Linked DNA regions of Oryctolagus cuniculus. The protein of the gene in region 1 interacts with the protein of each later gene in a pairwise test. Links are inferred from orthologs where the notes say so. Each region holds a gene or a part of one and is shown in the gene's direction. Other genes may lie near its edges. The genes, in order: BIRC7, CASP9, POLR1C, DDX6, PHF1 and UBE2K.

What was found.
Region 2: the proteins of BIRC7 (region 1) and CASP9 interact in binary tests that used the Homo sapiens proteins (3 or more experiments, as listed by UniProt). The two-hybrid records come from large-scale screens. The link is inferred for Oryctolagus cuniculus from reciprocal best matches to the Homo sapiens genes BIRC7 and CASP9.
Region 3: the proteins of BIRC7 (region 1) and POLR1C interact in binary tests that used the Homo sapiens proteins (3 or more experiments, as listed by UniProt). The two-hybrid records come from large-scale screens. The link is inferred for Oryctolagus cuniculus from reciprocal best matches to the Homo sapiens genes BIRC7 and POLR1C.
Region 4: the proteins of BIRC7 (region 1) and DDX6 interact in a two-hybrid assay, tested with the Homo sapiens proteins (3 studies listed by BioGRID and IntAct). The two-hybrid records come from large-scale screens. The link is inferred for Oryctolagus cuniculus from reciprocal best matches to the Homo sapiens genes BIRC7 and DDX6.
Region 5: the proteins of BIRC7 (region 1) and PHF1 interact in binary tests that used the Homo sapiens proteins (3 or more experiments, as listed by UniProt). The two-hybrid records come from large-scale screens. The link is inferred for Oryctolagus cuniculus from reciprocal best matches to the Homo sapiens genes BIRC7 and PHF1.
Region 6: the proteins of BIRC7 (region 1) and UBE2K interact in binary tests that used the Homo sapiens proteins (3 or more experiments, as listed by UniProt). The link is inferred for Oryctolagus cuniculus from reciprocal best matches to the Homo sapiens genes BIRC7 and UBE2K.

What each region holds. Positions count from the first base shown.
Region 1 is NC_091442.1:589,206-593,444, reverse strand, and holds the start of BIRC7 (baculoviral IAP repeat-containing protein 7), read left to right. Parts: upstream 1-1,439; 5' UTR 1,440-1,631; intron 1,632-4,239. Other genes in the region: YTHDF1 (YTH domain-containing family protein 1), read right to left, coding at 513-592, 1,041-1,074.
Region 2 is NC_091438.1:154,078,765-154,083,062, forward strand, and holds the start of CASP9 (caspase-9), read left to right. Parts: upstream 1-1,498; 5' UTR 1,499-1,655; coding exon 1,656-1,787; intron 1,788-4,298. UniProt on the Homo sapiens protein: Involved in the activation cascade of caspases responsible for apoptosis execution. Binding of caspase-9 to Apaf-1 leads to activation of the protease which then cleaves and activates effector caspases caspase-3 (CASP3) or caspase-7 (CASP7).
Region 3 is NC_091436.1:126,548,517-126,552,599, reverse strand, and holds the start of POLR1C (DNA-directed RNA polymerases I and III subunit RPAC1), read left to right. Parts: upstream 1-1,283; 5' UTR 1,284-1,344; coding exon 1,345-1,413; exon of another isoform or gene 1,414-1,444; intron 1,445-1,524; coding exon 1,525-1,596; intron 1,597-1,893; exon of another isoform or gene 1,894-1,960; coding exon of another isoform or gene 1,961-2,041; intron 2,042-2,784; coding exon 2,785-2,892; intron 2,893-3,101; coding exon 3,102-3,234; intron 3,235-3,456; coding exon 3,457-3,576; intron 3,577-3,658; coding exon 3,659-3,811; intron 3,812-3,965; coding exon 3,966-4,083. Other genes in the region: protein YIPF3, read right to left, coding at 1-73, 246-443, 956-1,036. UniProt on the Homo sapiens protein: DNA-dependent RNA polymerase catalyzes the transcription of DNA into RNA using the four ribonucleoside triphosphates as substrates.
Region 4 is NC_091432.1:111,456,271-111,460,534, forward strand, and holds the start of DDX6 (probable ATP-dependent RNA helicase DDX6), read left to right. Parts: upstream 1-1,464; 5' UTR 1,465-1,590; intron 1,591-2,162; exon of another isoform or gene 2,163-2,634; intron 2,635-2,653; exon of another isoform or gene 2,654-2,752; intron 2,753-2,830; exon of another isoform or gene 2,831-3,252; intron 3,253-4,264.
Region 5 is NC_091436.1:135,735,585-135,739,785, reverse strand, and holds the start of PHF1 (PHD finger protein 1), read left to right. Parts: upstream 1-1,401; 5' UTR 1,402-1,596; intron 1,597-2,280; 5' UTR 2,281-2,296; coding exon 2,297-2,455; intron 2,456-2,539; coding exon 2,540-2,621; intron 2,622-2,729; coding exon 2,730-2,825; intron 2,826-2,989; coding exon of another isoform or gene 2,990-3,080; intron 3,081-3,254; coding exon 3,255-3,355; intron 3,356-3,435; coding exon 3,436-3,584; intron 3,585-3,732; coding exon 3,733-3,828; intron 3,829-3,981; coding exon 3,982-4,050; intron 4,051-4,191; coding exon 4,192-4,201. UniProt on the Homo sapiens protein: Polycomb group (PcG) that specifically binds histone H3 trimethylated at 'Lys-36' (H3K36me3) and recruits the PRC2 complex. Involved in DNA damage response and is recruited at double-strand breaks (DSBs).
Region 6 is NC_091433.1:33,605,609-33,608,657, forward strand, and holds the end of UBE2K (ubiquitin-conjugating enzyme E2 K), read left to right. Parts: intron 1-1,234; coding exon 1,235-1,363; intron 1,364-2,279; coding exon 2,280-2,354; 3' UTR 2,355-2,549; downstream 2,550-3,049. UniProt on the Homo sapiens protein: Accepts ubiquitin from the E1 complex and catalyzes its covalent attachment to other proteins. In vitro, in the presence or in the absence of BRCA1-BARD1 E3 ubiquitin-protein ligase complex, catalyzes the synthesis of 'Lys-48'-linked polyubiquitin chains.

The sequences.
Region 1 (4,239 bases):
CGCTCGGCCGCTCCCCTGGACTGCGGTGCCGGACTCAGCACAGCAAGCAGCACCGCCTCCGCCGTCAGACAGGCTCACAGGCCCCCTGCCTCCCCCGTCAGGCAGGCTCACAGGCCCCCCGCCTCCCCCGTCAGGCAGGCTCACAGGCCCCCTGCCTCCCCCGTCAGGCAGGCTCACAGGCCTCCCTGCCTCCCCCGTCACACCCGAGTCCCGGCTCCAGCTTCCTGCTGCCCACACCGACAGGCAGCAGGTGACCGCTCCGATGTCCTTGGGTCTCCGACACCCACACAGGGGCGGGGATGGAGCCCTGGCCCGGCCATGGCTGGGAAGTGACCCGGTGCAGGGGGCTCACCGGCTCCCACTCTCTCTCGAGAAAGAAAAAGACACCAAACACCGATGCACGAACCCCGGCCCGGCCCGGCCCGGCCAGCTGCCCGGGGCGCCAGGGGAGGCTCCGCGCTCCAGGGAGGGCCTGGGGACGCAGAGCCAGGGCGGGGGCGCGGCAGGCTCACCTGACTCGACTGGCCGGGAAGGTAGGGCTCGAAGTCGGCGTCGGGCACCGTCTCCTTCGGCTGCAAAGAACCACTGTGCGCTGGAACAGGAAGCCACAGGGTCACCGCCCGGCTCCCGACTCAAGGCACTTCCCGGAAGCGACGCTTCGGTCTGGAGCTCGGCGGAGGCGGCGCAGGGCGGCCGGCAGCTCCGGACAGCCCAGGCGCGCCGCAGCCGGATCCGGCTACACCCGAGCCACACGCACGGCGCCCGGCAGCGGTCCGCCCCGGGCTCGGCAGCCGGGGCGGCGGGCGCTCCCCGGCTTCTCGGGAAGCCGCCCCCTCCCCGCCGGCTCCGGGCGCCGGGGCCGCGCTCACCGTTAGCGTCTTGTCCTTTTGTTCCCTGCAGCGGACGCGGCCGGAGGGAACACTCGGTTACCCACGGCAGGACCCGCCCGGCCCCCAGGTCCCGGCAGCACGGCCCCGGCTCCCGGCCCAGCCCTAGCCCGGCCTCCAGGCTCCGGCCCCGCGACACCGGCCCGGCCCTACCTGGGGATCCACGCTGGTGGCCGACATGCTTCATGAACGCCGCCGGCTCGGGCCTCCCGCGAGGCCGGGCCTGTCCCCGCCGCGCGCGGCCCCCGACGCCAAGTTCCCGGGCGCCGGCGGCGGTGCTGGCTCGCGGGGCGGCGGCGGCAGCCGGGCGGGGGGCGCACAGAGGGGGCGCCAACTCCAATGGCGGCAGCAGCGGCAGCGGCAGCGGCAGCAGCGGTAGCGGCGGCGGCGGCGGCAGGGACGAGGCTGCGCGTCGTAAGCGCGCGCGAGGCACGCCGGGAATGACGCCCGGCCGGCACGCACGCGCCTGCGCCTCCCCGCCTTGCGGGACGGATTTCTCTCCCGGGTCTCAGTCTCGCGCGACGGGGGCGGGGCGAGGTCGCGGAGGCGGGGGCGGAGCCCGAGAAGTCACGTGGGGCGCGCCCCGCAGGGCGGTGGGGCCGGGCTGGGACCCGGCGGCGCCCGCTGTGCACCTGCTCCTGTGCGGTTCGCTTGGCGGCGACGGCAGCGGGAGCCCTGGGCACGTCCATCTTTATGGGCCTTGGGGTCATCCCGGGGTCCGAAGGAGAAACGCCGCATTTACAGGTGCGCGGGGCTGGGGAGCGGGCTTCAAGCCAGGCCGCCCCTTCCCGGCCCCGTTCTCATTCGCCAGCCCCGCGGAGGCCCCTGCCCGTAGCCCCTCCCGGTCACTCCCGGAGGTGTCCCCTCGGCCCCACCGCGGCCACGCCCCACCATGGCGTCCAGGTGGCTGTTCTCTTTCGGCCCTGGCAGGTGCCATGAACGCATGTGGCCCGAATCAGTCCTGTCCTGCCGCAGGGAATGCTGGGCCGGCACGAGGGGCAGGAATGACCCCAGAGAGGCCAAGCAGAGGCGCTAAGCCGCAGTGAGGGCCGGGCAGTCCCTGTGCCCCTGAGATAGGGCAGCCTGGGCTTCCGGCTCAGCCGGGCCCTGACAACATCTCACCACTTCAGGGGAGGCCCGCACCACGGCTCCCGGCCTCGGCTCCAGTCTCCAGCGCTGGCCCAGCGCTGGACAGGCGGGCATGTTCGCTGCAGCACCGAGCCGGGAGGGACGGCTGGCGCCCAGGTTGGGTGCAGACGGTTGAGGCTTGGATGCACCTGGCCGTGGGGAGACAGTGCTTTTATCTGGGCTGCGTCCAAAGACGAGTGAGGCGTGTCCAGGCTGGTGGTGGGCACAGGAGGACACGGGGCTCACGGTGGCCAGCAGGGTGCTGAGGGGCAGGGTAGCCTTTCCGCCTGTCTGTGGCTGAGCCCAGAACATGGGGAGAGGGGGCTGCACACCTGCTCCCAGGGTCTAGGACGGCAGGGCAGCCATCTCTGGGCCCAGGAGTGTCCATGGTCAGAGCCCCTCCCCCTGCCTCCCCAGCTCACCTCCCTCTGGCGGACGGGGCAGTGGCCCCTGGTGGGGCGTGGGGCCACGCAGCCACTCATGTCCTCGGCCCCGAGGTCTCCACGCAGCCACTCATGTCCTCGGCCCCCGGGTCTCCACACAGCCACTCCGAGGTTCTCGGCCCCCGGGACCACCTTTCCCCCCCTCGCAGGGTTGAGTGGTGCACGCAGCCTCCGGCGCCAGGCCATGGCCCCCACACACCGGCTGTCACTTGGCACCTGCACGCATGCCCAGGCAGCTGCAGGAGGCCACACTGGCCGCTGGGGTCTCGGGCGGGTGTGGGCTGCGGGTGCCTTCGTTTCCAGGGCTGAGGCAGCCAGGGCCCTGGGACCAGGGCCACAGAACACGGGGACCTCACTTCCTCCCGGCCGAGGCGGGGTCTGAGCTCAGGGTCCCGGGACTGGAATCAGGCGCGGGCAGTGCCGCGCTCTGTGTGGGGCTCCTGGCCTGCAGTGGCCGCCCTTGGCTTCCCGGCTGTGCCTCACTGGCGTCTCTGTCGCTGGGTTCAGCGCCCACCTGAGTCCGGGGCAACCTCCTCCCACTGCTGTGCCATCTGCAGAGACCCTGTTTCTGAATGGGGTTGCCTCAGGGGTCTCAGGAGGACATGAACTTGGTGGGGGGCTCCCCAGCACACTGCGAGGGTGGGGGTCAGGTCTGTACTGCGGTGCTGACCGGGGCTCAGCGGGCAGTGTGGCCAGGAGAGGCCTCCACTGGCCAGGAAAGGGGCGGGTGGGGTCGATAGCCCCTGCTCGCCACCGCCCCCCTCCAGGCTGCTGCCCACCTCTCTGCAGCCGGAATGCTGACCCGGCGGACGCGAGAATCAGGCCTGCCCTCTGCTGGTTGGCAGGGAACCGAGGGACTGAATGAAGGGACGGTGCTGAGAGGCTGAGCCCAGAGCCGCGCCCGGGGGACGCCTCTGCTGATGGTCTGACTGCAGAGAGCCACGGTCTGGCCGCCGTGGGGTGGGCGTGGGCAGTAGGCTCACCCCCAGCCCCACTCCTGCGGCAGGAGCAGGGTCAGACCACGGAGCCCCCAGGTGGCCCTGGCTCAGTTCCACAGAGCCTTCAGGAACCAGGGCACTCGGCCCCCTGCCGCTGTGGCTGATGGCTTGGAGCTGTGGCCTCAGAGAGGAGCTGATGGTGGTGGCTGGAGGGGTGGGCTCCCCACCCTGCAGAGCCCCTGGCCCTTCTGGGACTGGAGTGCGGCTGTGGACATCTGGGGCGTGTGGCCACCTGCATAGTGCACGCATGGGCGGGGCCCTCACTGTCCGGGGCACGGGGAGGCAGGCAGGGCTGTGGGCCGCCAGGGAGGAGGTCAGGGGGTGGAGCTTGCTGTGGTGCACAGCCCCCGCCTGGGCTGGCCCTGTTGGCTGGGGGCAGGAAGGCCCCCAGCACTGAGGAGGCCCACTGGACATCGGGGGCAGCTGGTGCTCCCTGCCAGGGAAATGCCGCTCCTTGCGCTGTGGGCAGAGTGAGGCTCCTGTGCAGACCTCCCTGGCGGACGGGGGTCTTGTCGCTCCACAGCTGTGGAATTCTCCAGTGTCGCAGCGTGGAAAGGGTTCAGCTTTTGTTTATTCCGAAGTCAGGCAGGCACATAGTTTTAAAAAGCCTCAGAGCGCACTAGGTGGGAAGCAGAAACCACCACCCCCAGCCCCTTCTGGAGGGAGCCCCCAGGCCCCCAGCTGCTCTGTCTGCCTCGCCCGCTGTCTGAACCCCAGTTCTTGGAAAGCTGGAACTTGGGGATCCACAGCCCCTGATGGTCAGCGCCACAGCCGGCGCCTCGC
Region 2 (4,298 bases), on another chromosome or scaffold:
CCCTTTGCCATTCCAAAGGAAACACACTAGCCCCTATCACTGCTGGACCAGAGGCAGGCCACACGTACTGTGGACCACTCAGAGGTCCACACAGGAGCGGGTCATGCACTGCTCACCCCCAACTTTAAAAAAAAATTATTCATTTGTTTGAAAGGCAGAGAGAGACAGAGACAGACACACAGATTGTCTTCCATCTGCTGGGTCACTCCTCAAGTTCCCGCAATAGCTGGGGTTGGGCTAGGCAAAAGCCAGGAGCCAGGCGCTCCGTGCAAGTCTCCCACGTGGGTGGCAGGAGCCTCACTTGCCGCAGGCCCAGGCGCATTAGCAGGGAGCTGGATCGGAGGCGGGGCACTGGGGCTGCCCCCTGACATGAGCTGCAAGAGTCGGCGGCTGTACCACAAGGCCGGGCCCTCAGCCCTCGGGAAGGAAGGAAGCAGCAGGGGCCCACCTGCCTGCCCTGAGAATGGCAGTAAACCTTCCTTCTCCCTCCACTGCCGGTCAGCGACTGGCCCCGAGGGCGCTGGGCAAGCGAGCGGTCTTGGGGCGATCTACAGCAATTCCTCCTACTAGTTTTGGGGATATTCTACAGTCTCTGTAAAAGCCGTCTTCATCGATTCTGGTGAAAGACCCGGAAATCCGTGTCACGGTCCAAAAGCAGTTAGCGGTCCTCAGGATGCGGCCACGGGGCGGGCTCTAGGGCGGGACGAAGGCACGGAGGCGGACCATAGGGCGTGGCGAAGGCGCAGGGGCGGACTATAGGGGTGTGGCGAGGGCTCAGGGGCGGTCCTGGGGGGAGTGGCGAGGGTGCGGAGGCGGACCGTGGGGGCGTGGCCAGGACAAAGGGGCGGGCCTTTGGGGCGTGGCCAAGGCTCGGGGCGGACTATGGGGTCGTGGCGAGCGCGCGGAGGCGGAGCTTGGGGGCGTGGCGAGGGCTCAGGGGCGGTCCTGGGGGTGTGTGGCGAGGGCGCGGAGTGGATCCTTAGGGGGGGTTGCATCGAGAGTACGGAGGCGGGCCGTGTGGGCGTGGCGAGGGCGCGGAGGCAGAGAACGGGGGCGTGACGAGCCGCGGAGGCGGGACATGGGGGCGTGGCCAAAGCGCAGGGGCTGACTATGGGGGTGTGGACTATGGGGTCGTGGCGAGGGCGCGGAGTGGGTCCTTGGTGGGGATGCTGCGAGGGTAGGGAGGCGGAGCATAGTGGCATGGCGAGGGTGCGGAGGCAGACTATGGGGCGTGGCGAGGGCACGGAGGCGGACCGTGGGGGCGTGGCCAAGGCGCAGGGGCGGGCTATGGGGCGTGGCGAGGGCGCAGGGGTGGTCGGGGTGGGGGGGTGTAGCGAGGCTCTGAGACGGACCAGGAGGGGTGTGGCGAGGGCGCGGAGTGGTTCCTTGGGGGCGTGGCGAGGAGGAGAGGGCGGACTATGGGGGCGTGGACTATGAGGTCGTGGCGAGGGCGCAGAGGCGGGGGCGAGTAGGCGGGGAGGCGGCTGGGGTGGGGGAGGGACGTGGAGGCGGGAGCGAGGGGTGATGAGGAGTTGGGACGCAACGCGGAGGCGGGTCCTAGGTCGGGGGCGGATCCGGGGTCCCGGGTCTTAGGGCGGTGCTGGGGAGCGGGCCCGGAAGCGGACGGAGCCCCGGGTCCGCGTCTCCTGCCGGCCATGGACGAGGCCGACCGCCAGCTCCTGCGGCGCAGCCGGTTGCGGCTGGTGAAAGAGCTGCAGGTGGCCGAGCTGTGGGACGCGCTGGTCAGCTGCGAGCTCTTCACGGCCGACATGATCGAGGCCATCCAGGTGCGCCCCTCCCTCGCCGCCCCTGACTTCCGCGGGGCTCAGTGGCAGCTCCCGCGCTCGCTTCCCCAAGTACCCCCACTTTGGGGTGCCCTGTGAGCGGGACCCCGCGCACCTCTTGGCTGGGTGCGGGTTACAGCGGCTGCAGGCTCTGGTGTTTCCCTTCTGCAGCACCCTGGTCCCGGGCACCCACCCTGGGGTCGGGCTGCCCGTCAGGGTATCCTTGGGCAAGTCACTTAGCGTCTTTGAGCCCCAGTGCTCTGGGCAGTGATGCTGACCCAAGGACCAAGTGAGACGGTGGATGTGGAAGAGCCTAGAGCCAGGCCCAGAGGGCCCTGTCCACTCTGGCGGGTCCCTAAGGGGCTTTTGGAAGTCAGGAGACCTGATGCGGATAACAGAGAGAAAGGATACATTTGAGGCTGTTCGTGGCTGACCCTCGCCTGGGGCCGGTGAGAGTGTGGGGGTGCAGTGGGTGTGAGTGACTGGCTGCAGGCCTCTGGCCCGGGTTCTGGGCCCAGCAGGCCCAGCCTCGGTGTGGGCACCCTCTCCCTCCCTTTCCTCCTTTCCAGCCTGGGGACTGGCTGCACATTTGCAAAGTGGAAAAAATGCTGCTGCTTCATTTTTCCAGCTGCTAATTAACAATGGCTAAGTGACAGGGAGGCGACCACACAGGAGATCACAGACAGGACAGGACCTTTCAGAGGCTCCGTCGTTAACCTGCAAGGGGAGGGAGAGCCTGTGGGGGACCCCCCGGCACCCACCTTTCTCCCGTGGCCCCTCCATAGTAAGCGCAGTGTGTCCTTGCCCTCCACGCCCAGTTCCTGTGTATCGACTGTCCAGCCCGGGCCCTCCCTCGCCTGGCCACAGCCTGAACTCACGGCCCCTCCCACCCTCTGGGGAACTGTTGTGTGTGTTTGCCTCCTCCCAGACCATGGCCTTGCCCCGGAACGAGTCTGTGATAGACTGTGGCCAGCTGTAAGTGAGTCTCGGGAGCACCTGCTGTGGGGCCTGGACAGGGAGTAGAGATGGCTGGAGGTGACAGTTCCTGCTTCAGACACGTTCAGGGGGACTACAAGCTCAGATGCCCATGGAGGCCTGGGTGGGCGCCATGGTGGGCAGCATCTGTCCTGCCACCCGTCTCCAGCTGCGTGTGCTCAGGCCAGCATGCAGGCCCAGTGTTACTAGGTTTCTTAGGTATTTATTTATTCGTGTTTCTTTTTTTTTAATATTTTATTTATTCGAAAGGTAGAGTTACAGACAGTGAGAGGGAGAGACAGAGAGAGAGGTCTTCTGTCCATTGGTTCACTCCCCAAATGGCTGCAACAGCCAGAGCTGCGCTGGTCCGAAGCCAAGAGCTGGGAGCTTCTTCTGGGTCTCCCACGCAGGTGCAGAGGCCCAAGGACTTGGGCCAACTTCTACTGCTTTCCCAGGCCACAATAGAGAGCTGGGTTGGAAGAGGAGCAGCCGGGACTAGAACCGGCGCCCATATGGGGTGCTGGTGCCGCAGGCAGAGGATTGACCAAGTGAGCCACGGCGCCAGCCCCTATTTATTCATGTTCCTAAAAGATTTATTTACTTTTTTGAAAGGCAGAGTTACCGAGGCAGAGAGAGAGAGAGATTGATTTCATCTGTTGGTTCACTCCCCAGATTTCTTCTGGAGCTGGATTGGAAGTGGAGCAGGCGGGACTAGAACCGGCGCCCATATGGGATGCCGGCACTGCAGGCAGTGGCTTTACCTGCCCCCTATTTATTCATTTTTTAAAGATTTATTTATCTGAGAGGTGGATGACAGAGAGGTGGAGGCAGAGAGAGGTCTTCAATTTGCTGGTTCACTCCCCAAATGGCCACAACGGCCTGAGTTGGGCCGATCCGAAGCAAGGAGTCAGGAGCTTCCTCCAGGTCTCCCACACACATGCGGGCATCTTCTACTGCTTTCCCAGGCCACAGCAGAGAGCTGGATCAGAAGTGGAGCAGCCGGGACTGGAACCTGCGCCTGTATGGGGGGGGGGTACTAGCACTGCAGGTGGTGGCCCCTGTTTATTAATTTTTAAAAAGATTTATTTATTAATTTGAAAGGCAGAGTCACACACACACACAGAGAGAGAGAGAGAGAGAGAGGAGGAGGGAGAGAGCTTCCATCTGCCGGTTCACCCCCTAAATGGCCAAGGCTGGGCCAGACTGAAGCCAGGCTCCTGGAACTCCATCCGGGTCCCCCACATGGTAGCAGGGCCCCAGACTGCTCTTCCTGGGAGACTTGTCTCCTCAGTGGTGTGGTGGGTCTGTGCTGTTCAGTGTCATAGTTATTGGCCACTTGCAACTGTTGGAAATGTAAGTGTTCAGTACTTAAAAATTAAATAAAATTGGGGTCCGCGTTGTGGCGTAGCCGGTAAAGCCACCACCTGCGACAGCAGCATCCCATGTGGGTGCTGGTTGGAGTCTTGACTGTTCCACTTCTTCTTCCTCTTCTTTTTTTTAAAGGTTTATTTTGTTTGTTTGAAAGACAGAGTTGCAGAG
Region 3 (4,083 bases), on another chromosome or scaffold:
AGGGTCTCAGGATGTCGATGTTGGCATACAAACTGAAGGCTCTGGAAGCTTGTCTCTTCCCGGCCTGCCACATCTGAGCGGAGATGCGGGGATGGCCCGTGAGGCTCCTGGCCCTGGGGTCCTGCTCCCTAGCTTCTGTCGGGGTTCTACTGGGCTCCAACTGGGGCAGCCTGAGGTCAAGGTCACCCACACGACTCCAGATCGCGCAGGTATCCTGCACTTGCCAAGGATTCAGCCCCGCTTACCTGGTCAGCCACCTGCCGGCTCAGCTGCCCCTTAAAGCCCTTCATGCCCAGGAACTCCCCATCCTCCTCTTCCGCAGCGGCCGCGTCGGCGTCCACTTCTTCCTCGCGCAGGCGCTGGTGCAGCTCACCCATGTCCTCGAAGCTGGAGCCCGAGGTGTCATCCATGTTCTCCATGTCAATCACGGCAGAGCCCCCACCCTGTGAAGGCAATGCCTCCTACAGTGCAGGCCTTTCTGGTCCCTGCCCCGCTGCTGGCGCCGCGCCTCCGAATCCCCGCACATCAGGCCACTGTCACCCCTCACTTTCTCTCAGAACCCCCTGGCTGCTGGTTCCGGCGCTCTCCTCTAGCCCGAGAAGCCACCTACTTGTCTTCCGCTCATGCCTTTTCCCCACCTTCCCCATCAAAGGCCCCGAGGGTTTGCAAGGCGCAAGCAAGACCATGCACACAAGATGTTTCTGGCGAGTGCCAGCGAATCCCGCCCACTGCCCCGCTTGACCCCGATTGACCTCCTCTTCTGTCTCTCTTCCTAACGCCTCAGGCGCGTCCAGAGACCCGAGGCCCTCCGGCCGGCACTAGCTTCACTGACTTTCCCGTGCACGAAGACCCAAAGGGGAGAGGAGTGTTGCAAATGGAGGAAGCTTTCGGGCCCCGAGGGAGGCTTCCCCAGACACGTCGGGGTGGCCGGCAGCCGAAGCGCTGGGGCCATTACCTGGATGTTTTCTTCGAACCCGCCCCATTCCGGGCCGGCCCCGTTTCGAGCGCCGCCGGCCGGCGCCGCGGTGGCTGCCATGTCCCTGGAGGGCTCCCGTCCCCGAAGCCAGCGCTAGCCCCGCGCGCGGAGGAAGAGGGGGCAGACGTGGGCCTGAGGCACGGAGACGTCCAGGGCCGAGGACAGGCGCCACCAGCCGGAACGCAAAAAAGAGAAACCCGGATGTTTGGCCCAGACAGACTTCCGGAAGTTGGGGACGTGGACGGAGGCGGGGCAAAGTCTCGCGATACGTCGGGCTCCGGGAGGCGGTGCGTTGCCACGGCGACGGAGGAAAGCCGCTAGAACGCACGCGCAGGCGTGAGGCCTTAGTCTCGTGGGGGAAGTCGAAGATGGCGGCGGCTCAGGCCGTTGAAGAAATGCGGAGCCGCGTGGTTTTAGGGGAGTTCGGAGTTCGGAATGTAAGCCTTGTGGCCTTGAGTTCAGAAGGAAGTATGAGAGGGACGGGTCGGGATCAAAGTGAGGGCGGGCTTGGCTTCGCTGCCTCTTCACGGACGGACCCGTATCTCTAGGTTCATACCACCGACTTCCCCGGGAACTATTCCGGTTATGATGATGCCTGGGATCAGGACCGCTTCGAGAAGGTGCGTGGGGCCGGAGTGTGATCGGAGCAGCCCGGGCTTCCGAGCTGCTCCCAGGGGTCACTCACGTGGCAAAACCAAGTTTGCTCAGCATCCGACCGTGTCCTGGGCGCTCCTTGCACACCGGGCTTCTGCCTTGTTCTGCGATCGAGCTGTTCAGGCCTGTACAGGTCATTCTAGTTGGATGCGGTGACGGCGGCTGAGAGTGGGGGTGGGGCACCCCTCAGAGACGGTCTAGACTGGGGCAGAATCATAGGATTCCCTGAAGGAAGTGACATCTGAGTTTGAGCCCTGAACGGTGAGTGAAGGTCGAGGAGGGAGGAGTAAGCGAGCTAACTTGTAAAGACGGGGTGGGCGTGTCCCTAGAATGTCCGAACCGCGCATTATTGATAGAATGTTACACTGGCCTGACGGCGGGCACTGGGGGTTCTTGAGCAGGCGTGACCAGGTGATCCGGTTTGCAGCTTTGGTGGTTGAGAAGGAGGAGAAGGGGCGGGCAGATCGCTAGGCAGTGCTGGGGGAAGGAGCCCAGGAGTGCTTTGGTGAGAGCGGTCAGGACTTTCTGGCTGTGGGAACTCATCTGACGGCTGGCGGTGCCTGGGCAGTGGGAACGATGACCCATTCGGTTCCCCGCGGTGTGGAGGAGCTAGCAGCCCAGGAGAGCGTTCGACAGAATGTGGGGAGTTGTCCATAGTAGTTGCTAAAACCGTGAGTGTGGTTGATGTCACTTTGGAGAGAGACAAGAAGCTGGGGACCGGTAACACCTAGGTGGTGGGTGGAAGGAGACGCAACTCCTCAGATGGAGGACTGGTGCCCAGACACGGAGGAGATGGGGTTTGAGAAAGGAGTTTTTTTTTTTTTTTTTTTTTTTTTTTTTAATTCAATGCCAAATGTAACATTAGTAAGAAAAGAACTGAGTCCTGTCAGCTGGACTAAACTGTATAGAAGTTTCTGCTCTTCATAGAATAGCTTCTGGCTCAAGCCATATTGCATAGGATTTTCAACTAGTGGCATACAAAACTGGGGGCATTGTTCAAGAAACTAAAAGAACAGAGGAAGAAAACATCAAATGAGGCTTTGCTGGGCAGAGGAAGGCTTCTGGGGGAGCGGGGATGTTCCGTGTCAAGGGGGAGCTGTAGCCAGGTCACACCAAGAGCAGGCTCCATCCACTTGTTTTTCCTTTGCCTCTAGAACTTCCGCGTGGATGTGGTACACATGGATGAAAACTCGCTGGAGTTTGACATGGTGGGAATTGATGCGGCCATTGCCAATGCTTTCCGGCGAATTCTGCTGGCGGAGGTATCAGCGGGGCCGGTGACGGCTGGAGCGTGGGGAAGTGTGCCATCACCTCATCTGTCAGTGTCTCAAGTTGCCCCCCCCCCCCCCCCCCGATTTTGTGGAGTGTTTTGCTTTAAGTTTTTATGAGGCATTCTTCTAGGAGTTGTCCATCTCAGGAGGTGGGGAGTCTGCCGGGTTTTTATAGACGGGTAATCCTGGTCTCTGGGTAGGTGCCCACAATGGCTGTGGAGAAGGTACTGGTGTACAACAACACATCCATCGTGCAGGATGAGATCCTGGCTCACCGCCTGGGGCTCATTCCCATTCATGCTGATCCACGACTGTTTGAATATCGGAACCAAGGTGAGGGCCTGGGAGATGAAGCTGTTGGGGGAAGTGGAACCGCTTTCTTCCTTAGTAGATCCTGGGACCAGCTGCCTGGGTTCGAATCCTGGGTTGACTCTTGTGGCCCTGGGCAAGTGACTCATCATCTGTGGACGAGAGGAGCAGCACACGGGTAGCACTCGGCAGTGTCTACCCTGATGCTCACTGCTGCTGTAAGGGCCGCCTCTTCCCTTTGTGCAGGGGACGACGAGGGCACAGAGATAGACACTCTGCAGTTTCGGCTGCAGGTCAGGTGCACTCGGAACCCCCACGCTGCTAAAGATTCCTCTGACCCCAACGAGCTCTATGTGAATCACAAAGGTTAGTGGGCAAGGAGGGAGGCCTGGCTGCTGGCTGTGGGGGCGTCTCGGGGCTACAGCCCTCTGACTTGTCTTCCCTCCAGTGTACACCAGGCACATGACGTGGGTTCCCCTGGGGAACCAGGCTGACCTCTTCCCTGAGGGCACTATCCGGCCGGTGCACGATGATATCCTCATTGCCCAGCTGCGACCTGGCCAAGAGATTGACCTGCTCATGCACTGTGTCAAGGGCATCGGTGAGACCCGTGGGCCGCCTCAGGTGCAGGGCGTAGCTTAGTCGCCGCAGGAATCCAGGGATGCTCCTGACCGGCAGAAGGCGGTGGGCTTGGGCTTTCGCGCTCAGTGGCTCGGGAGAGGATTCCCCCAGGCTGATCTCTCCCTTCCCTGCAGGCAAGGACCACGCCAAGTTCTCACCAGTGGCGACAGCCAGTTACAGGCTCCTGCCAGACATTACCCTGCTTGCACCCATAGAAGGGGAAGCGGCTGAGGAGCTGAGCCAGTGCTTCTC
Region 4 (4,264 bases), on another chromosome or scaffold:
ACCAGGGATGGGAGCTCTTTGTGTCTGCCTCTCAAATAAATACATAAAATTTTTTAAAAAGAAAATGGCCGCTGTCTCTTGGAAAACTCTGATGACAACAGGTGGCCTCACTGGAGCTGGCACATCCTCCAGAAACCGTATTTGCTACAGAGTACTCACAATTATTCCACTCCATGTTAACTAAAAGACCAAAGGATTTGATTTATATTACATTCTTCTTAAAAAATAATTTTTCAAACCAACAAATTATCATAATTTAAGAGTCCAGTGTGACATTTTCAATACATATGTACATATGTACAACATGTAATGATCAGGCATACCTATCACCTCAGACTCACATACTTTTCTTGTGCTAGGAACATTCAAAATCCTCTTCAAATTCTGTTTCTAGCATACCATCTCCCAGATTTTAAAATACCTCGTCACACAGAAGGGGGGAACTCTGTTCCTCGTGTTCACCCTAGAGAGAAAGCAGCTAGGTGGCTATTTTGAAATATTCAATTAATTCTTGCCAATCAGAGTTATCCTGCCCAACTGCACCCCTGGACCCATTAGCTATCCTCTCTCCAACCCCCTAAAAATACATTTTATAAATGATAGTCTGTGCAGCCCCAAATAATCTTTTTTCCTAAAGTGTCATATTTCACAATTCTTGCTAATCTGTTTGAAAACAGCAAGGACAAAATGGTTTGAAATGGTTTGACCTATCAACCACTAAAGCTGAATCTAGAATAAAAGATCCAGGGTTCCTAGCTTAATTTTAAACCATCTACGTATCCCATCAGAAAACTGAAAAGGGCCAACAATGTGAGAGTATTTACCCATCTTAAAAGATCATTATACAGAATTTCGAAAGGTTTTCGCCTCAGAAGGACTCCTAGGTGAGATGGGTGGTCATTTCATATTGCCCATTTTTGTCGTGACCTCATCCAGGCTACAGTTTATTTGTGGACCCTTTCCTTGAGCAGTGTGGGGGAAGGGACCTGGTGTAAATCCTGAAGCCCCTTTCCCAACCCTTCACACACCTGATACGTGGGAAGAGAGTGAGGCAAAGAGGATCTCACACGGTATCACCCAGCCGTCTTCTCTACAGGATGGAATAGGGTGCAGGGTTTCTCTCTTCACGACTAGGTGTTTTAAAATCTGGGTGGGAGATGGCATGCTCTAAACCTAGAATTTAAAAAAAAAATAAGGGGACTTTTTTTTTAACGTCAAGGGTAGTCTTTTCACTGCTCTCGACAGCCTTTCCAGACCGCCAAACGAGACCAGGCTTTGCGTTCAGAGCGTGCCGTAGGATCCGCAGCCACGACCCCTCGGAGTGGTGGGGACCAGGCAGGCGGGGGAGTAGGAAAGCTTCATGGTGAAAAACGGGGAAGGCGTCAGGTCGGCCGCGATTGGCGCGTGCTGGCACCGGGAAGCGGGAGGAGGGCGAGCGAGAAGCAGGGCCTCGGACGTGATTGGTTGCGGCGGCATATTTGGCTTTCTCTGATTGGCTCCGAGTTGGGGACAGCGGCACAGCGGCAAAAAAACATGGAAGCTGCCAGTCAGTGAGCAAGTGCTGACCGTTCTGGGCTCGCTGCTGCGGAGGTGGGTCGGAGTCCTATTGTCACATACGCTTTGGCCATTGTCCGTTTGTATATTCCGCTTCCCAGCCGGGTGCGACCTAGGATTTTACTTTCCCTCGGCCTAGCCAAATTTTTTTTTTCTTACTTGAGACACCACAGCATTTCTGTTATTCTGTTGGGGATAAACGGAGACGCTAGGGTCTGAGAAGTAATCATGAGGAGAAATGCCTAAAAATCTTTACAAGTGAGGGGCGGGCGGGAGAAAAAACTCTCCGCCTGCGGGCGCCCAGATCTTTACCGACTGCCCGGCTTCCACCGAGACGACTCAGTGCTGTTCCCCTCTGGGGGGAGGCTCGGCCCCTCCCTGGAGGATCTCGGCAGTAGAGGGGGGTCGCGCCGCCCAGCCCTGCGCCCTAACGGCGGGGTCGCCTCCCAGACCCCGCGTGCTCTCCGCAGCTCCCCCTCCCAGGCGCACGGTCTCCGCCCGGCGCGGTCCCTACACCCCCCCTGCCCGCCCTCCGCGCGCCCCGGGGCCCTCCCCACCGCGGGTCCCAGGCCGCCCCCCTCCCGCCCCCGGGCGCGCGTCGGCGGGCGCGTGGGGGCCTCTGGTTCCGCGCGCTCCCGGGCGGAGACGCGGCGCGAGGGGCTCGGACGCGGCCCCCGGCCCGCGGGGGTGCCAGGTCAGCCTCCCGCCTCCGGCCCGGCAGTGCTGGGGACCGGTCTTGGGGCAGTAACAAGCAGATCCGCCTCTGGTCACAACCCCGGGTTTTCACGCAGGAGGCGTGAAGGCCGGCGACTCTCCTCAGCCACCATTCCCCGAGCATCTCTCCTCGGCCTTCCTGTCCCCTCAGACAGCAGCCGGGCTTCCCCCTGCAGCTTTCCACCCGTCGGTGTGAGAGAACGGCCCGCTTTTTTTTTTTTTTTCCTTCCCCCCTCCTCAGGGAGCTTCTCCGGCCGGGCTTCCCCTCGCCGTCAAGAAGGGAAGAAGGGAAGCCAGGCGGCCGCGACAGCCGAGCTCTCGCCATCTTGAGTGGAGGAGGAGCCGCGGCCGCCGCCATGCGGAGAGGCAGGGAAAGAGGGAGGGAGGGAGGCGGCGGCGGGCGGGCGAGGGAGGGGGCAGACAGCCGAGTTAGCTCAGCTCGGCGGCGACTTCGGCGGCGCCGAGAGAGCGGGCAGCGGCGGAGGTAGGCTGGGCGGCCCGGCAGCCGGCGGCGCGGGCTGCCGGCGGCGCGGCCCCGGGAGTGCGGCGGGGGCGGGGGCGGGGGCGGCCACAGCGAGGGGCCGGGTGGGGGCGGGCGGAGGTTTCCGAGGAGGAAGGAGCCGCCGCCATTTTGGGAGCTTCGAGTCAACAATAAAGGACCGAGGGTGCCGAGCGGGAGTGGCCTCGGTGGTAGGACTCGGGCCAGAGCCGCGGGGCGCGGGGGTGAGGCGGCGGGGTCGAGGTCGGCGGTGCCGTGGGGGCTTCAGGGAGCCCCTCGGGCCGGCGAGGGGTTCGCTCCGGGCGGAGGCCCAAGGCCTGGCCGGGCCTGGGGGAGGAAGGGCGGGCGGCAGCTGTGTGGGGTGGGGGCGCCTCAGAGGAGTCGAATATGGGAATGCAGTGCGCGGCGGGGTCAGGAGGAGGAGCGGGCCGAGTGCTCCGAGGAGTTTTGTGGAAGACGAGGGGCTGTGGGGACCCGAGGGGGCGGTAAGGGCTGGGGGGGAGATGATGTTGGAGGTTATGGGGTACGAGGCAGCCCTACAGGGGGCGGCACGGATCTGCCGTGTTGGAGGGCTCCGGCTGGAGGAGGACCGGCTGCTGCCTGATTGCAGTAGGCCTTGTAGGTCGATAAACAGAGGGTGTTGGTGGAGCCCCCGGGTCGCGGAGGGAAGGAGGGGCGTCCTAGGTTGTAGGGGTCTCTTCGGGCCCTTTATTGGAGCAGTCCCTATTGTTTGCTGCCGCGGAGCTGAGTTTTGGCCCTTGTTGCGCAGATAGGATTGCGGGGACCCAACCGTTTTGTTTTTGTGGTCTGAAGGAGCTGACTCGAAGTGTGAGACTGGGGGGAGGCAGGGGAAGAAATGAGTGCCATACAGTTGCGGGGCTCCCGACACTGGCTTGACTCCTTTTCCGCGATCCCCCGCTCCCTCTCTTCGGAATAAAACCCAGTCACTCCAACTTGCAGCCAGAGCTTGGAGAAACTGCGCTGCATTTGCAAACAAAAGCTCTCGTTGGAGATGACGGTACTGTTTTGGGTGTGAAACTGTCAATTGCTAACTACGATCTGGGAAGTGCTGTAATTAATTCCACCAGGGGCTCCTCCCAGATAGTCTACGTTTTGTCTTTTTTTTTTTTTTTTTTTCTTAACGTAGAACTATAACCTGCACATCTAAATTGGGAAGGGGTAGGAGGAATATTTCCTCTCTGAGACATAAAGCTGCAGTGCAGGTTTCAGTTTAAGAGGGGAGCAGTTAGCACATAGTCTTATTTTGGATTTAGGGAGATGCGCGGTGATGGGCAGTAATGAAGATACGGTTTCGTTTTTAAGAGATTGCCTTGTTCATCCTCCTAATGTTTTGCAAACAAATAAGTCTCCCTATATGAACTATGTGATACGGTTGATCATAATCTAAAGCTGTCAATACGGGAAAGGTTCATAACCTCCTCTAAGTGCTCTGATTCAGGAAGACTTTAAAAATAAACAGCTCTGTGTATGTGAGAA
Region 5 (4,201 bases), on another chromosome or scaffold:
TGCTTTACGGGGTGGAGGAAGCTATCTATGTACCCGACTTATCAAATAAAGAATAGTTTTTTTTTTTTAAATAAAGATTTTATTAGCATTTGCCCAAAGAGGAAAATATTTTTCATATCCGTTAAGACAGGAGCTGTGGAGGTGCCTATCCAGCCATGTGTTTGTGGGCTAGGAATTAGGGATTAGGTTTCTCTCTTTAAACTTTTCTTTTCTGAAAGGAGACCTGGAAAGCTAGTTCACTCCCCACATGCCCGCCACAGACAATGCTGAACCAGGAGCCCAGAACTCAACCTGGGTATCCCACCCATGTGGGGGGCAGGGACCTAGGGTGCACAACAGCACCTGGAGTTGGAAGCCAAGCTGGGGCAACCGAACGTGGGATGGGGGTCGCAACCCGAGCTGTGTCTTTTTTTTCTTAAATTACTTGAAATGAAGTTAGAGGGGCAGATCTTGCACCCGCTGGCCCCCAAGTTGCGTCTTAACCGCTAAGCCAAACGCCGGCCTCGGGCTTTCCTCACCTGCTCGGGATCATCTGACTCCCTACGCGCCCTCCCCCGTCGCCACTTCCTTGAAGGGTGCCGCCTGGTTGTCCAGCACAGCCACTGATGGAGCTCCCCTACGACGGGCACCCGGGCCCTGCGGCGGTGCGGCGCGCGCTCCCACCAACTGCAGGCGCTGTCCTCCCGCCCTTTCCTGCCTTCGCGTTCGAACCGCCGGGGCGCTGCCCTCCTGCTGCCCATTGGCTGGCTCTCGGCGGCGTCACCGCCCCGGGTACTAGCCCTCTGCGTCCCGGCGCCCGCCCCGCAAGCGGGAGGGTGCGCATCCGCGCCGACCCCTCGCGCTCCCCGATGTCGGCCGCCGCCCGGCAGGGGAGGGGCTCGGCCTTCCCAGGTGCCGTGCGCGGGAGGGGCCACGCGTGCGCAGAGCCGCGGCGGGAGGGCGGGGGGCCCGCGGGCCACGGGGAGGGCGGGGCCGGGGCATCGGCGGGAGGAGGGCGGGGCGAGGGCAACGGGAAGGGTGAATGGAGGGCGGGGCCGCGAACTGGGGCCCGGGGGCGGGACTTGGAGTGACCACGGGGGGTGGGGCAGCTAACGGATGTAGCATGGGGCGGGGGGCCAGTCTCGAGGCAGGCCGCCGGGAGGGGGATTCCCTCTGGCCCCAAAGGCGAGCCTGCCATCCGGGGAAGGGGCCGCGGGGATTCCCTCTCCTTGCCGGCTCGACTATTCGCGCCCCGAACCGCTGAGGGGCAGCCGCTCGCTCGCGCCCTCCAGGCCGCTGGAGGTGAGGGAGGTGGGGTGAGGTGGTGCCCGCCCCCCCTTCGGCTCCTCCTTCCCCAAGTCCTCCCCTCCCAGCCGGTCCGTCCCTCCCCTCCCTCCTTCCCTCCCTCCCCCCGCCGCCTCCTCCTGCCGCTGCCGCTGCTTTGGCTGCTGCGTCATACGCCCCAGAGCCGCCGGGACGGAGGGGCTGGGCCTGGGGACCCCCCGGCCTCCGCCTGCACGCCCCCGGGCGCCCGGACGTGCCCTCCCCGCGCGGGGGGCTCACCTGGGTCTCAGACGTCTGCCCCTGCCTGGCTCCCGGCGGCCCCAGCTGTCACCGGTAAGGAGGCGGGCAGGAGGCGCTGGTGGGGGGGGGACAGGGAGCCCGGGGGTCGGCGCGCAGGGCGCGGGCGGGAGAGCCTTGCCGCTCTGGCCTCGGGTCGGGCTGGGCCGACTCCAGTGCCTTCTCGGACTTGCCGTGGTGGGGAGGAGAGAGCGGGACTGGGACACGCCCCCCTCCCAGAGCACTCGGGGAAGTTACCTAACCCAGGGGCAGGAAGCCCCGAATTTGAGGGTGACCTGACATAACCGGGCACCGGATGATTGTTCTGTGTGAGACCAGCAGGCCGGGGGACAGCTGTTTCTACTCTGGAAAACACCTCCAGAAACGCTCCCTAAACACATGCCTGGGCAACAGTACCGCGGTGGCGATATGTCTAAGCAGAGGGGAGGGTGAAGCTGAGTAGCAATCTCTGCTTCTCCAGCCATCATTTCTCCTCAAATCTTAAGACCGGGCTGTGCTATCCCAGGAGAGCGCTCGGTTTTGGGGAGGGTGGCCAGGAGAAGTGGCCACCAGAGTTGGAAGAGTTGGGAGTCCGGACACTGAGTGGCTTCCCGTCCTAGTGTCCCAGGGTTTGGAGACCAGGCGTGCAGAGACTGATCCCTGACAGAAAACTAGGCAAAGAAAATGGGCACGCTTCCTCAGCATTCCTCACCATCTCCTTCCCGCCTCATTTCTGGCCAGGCCCCCCCAGGATGCGATGGCGCAGCCCCCCCGGCTGAGCCGCTCTAGTGCTCCCTCACTTTGGGACCCGGCGTCCCCGGCCCCCACCTCAGGCCCCAGGCCTCGGCTGTGGGAGGGTCAAGATGTGCTGGCCAGATGGACTGATGGGCTGCTATACCTGGGCACCATCAAGAAGGTAAGCCCTTCCTCTGACCTCTCACCGTCCCGTTCCCCTTATCTAAGTCTGGCTCCCTTTTCATCCTGTGTTCACCCACCCCAGGTGGACAGTGCTCGGGAAGTGTGTCTGGTCCAGTTTGAGGATGATTCCCAGTTTCTGGTTCTGTGGAAAGACATTAGCCCTGGTGAGACCCCAGAAACCTCAGCCTGCAGCCTATGGCAAACAGAAACCTGGCATGGGGGGGTACAGAGGGCCTCGAGGGCAGGCCTCCTGACACAGGGTTCCCCCACAGCCGCCCTCCCTGGGGAGGAACTCCTCTGTTGTGTCTGTCGATCTGAGACCGTGGTCCCTGGGAACCGCCTGGTCAGCTGTGAGAAGTGTCGCCACGGTAAGAGGCAGGATACCTGTGGGAGAGCTTGCCCTGGGCCTGCCAGCCTGTGTCTAGCCTGCCCCTCCAGCACTGCTCCTGTGTCACGTCGCTTCTTCTGGCCCAAGTCCCCACGCCACTGCTCTGGCCAGTCTCCTCAAGACTGAAATCTTGCCCCCTTTCAGCACAGGGAGAGGCAGCCATGGAATGAAGGTGGTATAAGTTTAGCAAGCAGAGGTGATTCAAAGACATCTCTCTCTAACCATGTGACTTCAGGCAAGTCCCTTAACCTCCTGTTCTCTCACTTGTAAAATAAAGATAATACTTTCACGCTGGCAGAACCGTGGTCAAGGATTAAATAAAATGGGTAAAACTGTTCCTACCCCAATACCAAGCACACATGGGCATGCAATAAATAAGTGGTCTACTATCAACATTATCATTATTCAGCTTATCACCAGGACTGCCACGTTCCCCGGGCCCCAGCCCCTGGAGAAGGAGAGGGCACATCCTGGGTCTGCCGCCAGTGCATCTTTGCGATCGCCACCAAGGTAAAGGCACCCTCCTACTGCGCCTCTCCTGAGCCTGTCCCGCCCACCTCTGAGGCCTCCCGCCTGCTGTATCTCTGCAGAGGGGAGGGGCACTGAAGAAGGGCCCCTATGCCAGGGCCATGCTGGGTATGAAGCTGTCTCTGCCGTACGGACTGAAGGGGCTGGACTGGGACGCCGGACATCTGAGCAACCGACAGCAGAGCTACTGCTACTGTGGCGGCCCTGGGGAGTGAGTAATGAGAGGTGGCAGATCCCAGGGGGTGCAGGAGTTAGAACAGGGTGAGGGGAGGACGGGGGATGGGAGGTAGGTGCCGAGCAGGGTTTGGGGCAGTTAGGGGGAAGAGGGTGTCTGAGGCGACTCGTCCCGTTTCCCTCAGGTGGAACCTGAAAATGCTGCAGTGCCGGAGCTGCCTGCAGTGGTTCCATGAGGCCTGCACCCAGTGTCTGAGCAAGCCCCTCCTCTACGGGGACAGGTGAGGGCGTGGCGGATCCTCAGGGGGCCAAGCTGCCCCGCCCTGTGCTCCACACTCTGCATTTCCTCGTCTGTCCACCCTCCTTGCTTCTGAGCCCTCCATGGCATGGTTTTCCACAAGGTGACACGTCCTCTTTCTCTTGCCCACATCCAGGTTCTATGAATTTGAATGCTGTGTGTGTCGGGGAGGCCCTGAGAAAGTCCGACGGCTACAGCTTCGCTGGTAAGGTGGACTGAGCCTGACCTCAGTGTAGCTTCCTTCCCAGCACCCTCCGCGTTGCACCCTACATACCCCAGCCGCCCATCTCAATCCCCTGGCTTTTGAAATGCTTCTTGTGGCCTTGACAACTCCGTGTTTCTCCAGGGTGGACGTG
Region 6 (3,049 bases), on another chromosome or scaffold:
AGTTTAAAATAACGGGTGCCTGGGGGAGGGGAATGTCAGCCCTTACGGTTTACTGAGTGTTCGTTGTTTTTCCTTTTCTAATACACTGCCCTCTTGTGTTCCTGTCTTCAAGGTGGTTCCATGTTAGTTCCTCTGTTTCTCCTCTTCTTCTTTCAGTGGCAGTTCCTACATGATTTGCAGTGTCAGCACACTAAGCTTCATCTTCTGAATTCTTGTTTTTCAAAGCACGCTTTTTCAAGTTTGCATTAATTTTTACTTAATCATTTTATCCACTCTGCCATGTTTCCTCTCTGAGGAAACTGAATTTCTTTATCCTTTAAGATTTTAATTTACAAATTATCTCTTCTAGAAACTTTTCCTTTCTCTTGAAGATCTGTTCACTCCTTGTTTTATGTATACCCCCTTCTTAGTATGTTCAATGAGTTGTCAACAGATTGCTGGTAATTATAGCTTTCTGTTTTCTGAATTCTAGCTTTGATTTCCTATTGAATTCTAAGCCCACAGGCTAAAGTTTATACTACAAGGATTACCTTAGTTCCTAAAATTGTCCAATAATTTGACTTACTTAATTGTTAGGAATTAATGATAGAAATTGCATTTACGCTTTTAATAAGCAGTAGAAGCTTTTCAGTATTAACATATTCAAAATCTATAAAATACCTTAAAGATAAATGTTTGACTAAATGAAATGGTTGGTGTTCATTTATACTTTGCTTTACTAAGAAATGAGGGTTCTAGAATATTTTGAGAATAAATGTATTTCCATTGCCTGTGAAAAGTCTTAACTTCTGAAAGTACTCTTGAGTTTGCAATTATTCCAAAGTGTGTATTATACATTAGGACTTTGCATGTGAGGTTTCCTTAAATCACATACATTAATATAACTCTGGGACAGGAGCAAAATCTGATTTTAATTTTATAAGCTACTAATTCTGTGTATAGTTGTATAGTGTTTGTTGTACTGTGTAACATTTCTGATAGTTAATTTTTTGCTAATTTGTTAAATTTTTAAAGTAGATTAGCTTTACTTTTCTTTCGTCAGTACAACTTTGAATTTAAAACTTCAGGTTAAACAGTCTTTTCATGAGTAACATAGTTTATGATGGGAAGTGAAACCACATTTTAAATATAAATTTTATTTGTTACAAGCAGGGTTGTAGGCAGTTGAGAACTGAGTTACAGTATTGTATGCTATGACCGTATTGTCATTTTAGTCAACTTTTCCCCCTTGCAGTACAAACAAAATCCTGAAATGTTCAAACAGACAGCTCGGCTGTGGGCGCATGTGTATGCTGGAGCACCAGTGTCTAGTCCAGAATACACCAAAAAAATAGAAAACCTATGTGCTATGGGCTTTGATAGGGTAAGTACCTAACGGTGTTTTGATTTTGATACACTGATTTAAAATTATCTCTATAAATCCTTGGCTGACAAGTAGTTTAGAAAATGCAGTTTTGTGGGCCGGCGCTGTGGTGTAGCAGGTAAAGCTACCTGCCTGTGGCTCTGGCATGTATGGGCACCGGTTCAAGTCAAGGGTGCTCCACTTCAGATCCAGTTCCCTGCTGATGCACCTGGGAAAGCAGCAGAGGATGACTGAAGTGCTTGGGCCCCTGCCACCCATGTGGGAGATCCGGAAGAAGCGCCTGGCTTCTTTCTTCAGATAAGCCCAGCTGCAGCCATTTGGGAAGTGAACCAGCACATGGAAGATCTCTCTGTGTAATTAACTCTACCTTTTAAAAAACACCAGGGCCAGCGCCGGCACACCGGGTTCTAGTCCCGGTTGGGGCGCTGGATTCTTTCCCGGTTGCCCCTCTTCTGGGCCAGCTCTCTGCTGTGGCCAGGGAGTGCAGTGGAGGATGGCCCAAGTGCTTGGGCCCTGCATCCCATGGGAGACCAGGAGAAGCACCTGGCTCCTGGCTTTGGATCAGCACGGTGCGCTGGCCGCGGTGGCCATTGGAGGGTGAACCAACATCAAAGGAAGACCTTTCTCTCTGTCTCTCTCTCTCTCTCTCTCTCTCTCTGTCCCCTCTGTCTGTCCAAAACAAACAAATAAAAAAACACCAGAAAATGCAGTTTTGGTAAATGTTCTGTTACTATAGCCAATGATTTTTGTTTTCCTTTTATTGATTCCGCTTACTGATTTGGGAAGCTTTTTATGTGCTACAAGTACTTACTGAAAGGGAAGAAAGAAATGTTTGATATGTCAATATAAAGACAGCAATTCAAAACAATTTAAAAACATTGTCTTGAGAGTTTGTTTTGTCCCTTTGTCTCCACAGAACGCGGTAATTGTGGCCTTGTCTTCAAAATCATGGGATGTAGAGACGGCAACGGAGCTGCTCCTGAGTAACTGAGGCCTGGCGAGCTGCAGCCCAGTCAGGCGGCCTCCTCTCCGGGAGCTCCGGCATCGCTATTTTTAGGATTCTGCATAGATTTCTTTTAAACTGGCATTCTTGCCTAATGATGTTATCTAGGCACCATTGGAGACTGAAAAAAAAATCCCTGCTCTGTAAATAAAGCTGATTAAACGTCTGTGTAAATTTAAAAAAGGGGAAATACTTTAATTTTTTTTCCTTAATAGTGTAAAAATTCTTTGAGCTAAGCTAAAACCATGAAAAAACTTGCTACTTTAGTATTTAGTGGTGTACCAAGACTAGCAAGAGTTCGCTTCAGGATTTTGTTGAATAATTAAGATTCTATTTTGAGTGTGTCGGTGTTGCATCACAGCTGCCGTAACTGTGTTCAACATGGACCCTCTGTGCCTGTGCATTTATTTGCATGCTTGTACTTGACTTCTTAGGATGGGTAGCTGAAAAGACCACCGTTTTACACATTGGAGAATTCTTAGATACAAGAGTCATCCAGATTTGAAGATGGTGACCTGTTCAGAGCCTTTTGTCCCTGTCCTCAAACTGGGACACCACGTCTGTTTTCCCTCTTATCACTCACAGCTAGCGTGCTGACGGAAATTCCTCTATTTGATGGGGAAGTGTGCTGAGCAACAGGGCCCCTTACCCCACTTTTAGGTTGTAGGTTTGAAATATTTTCA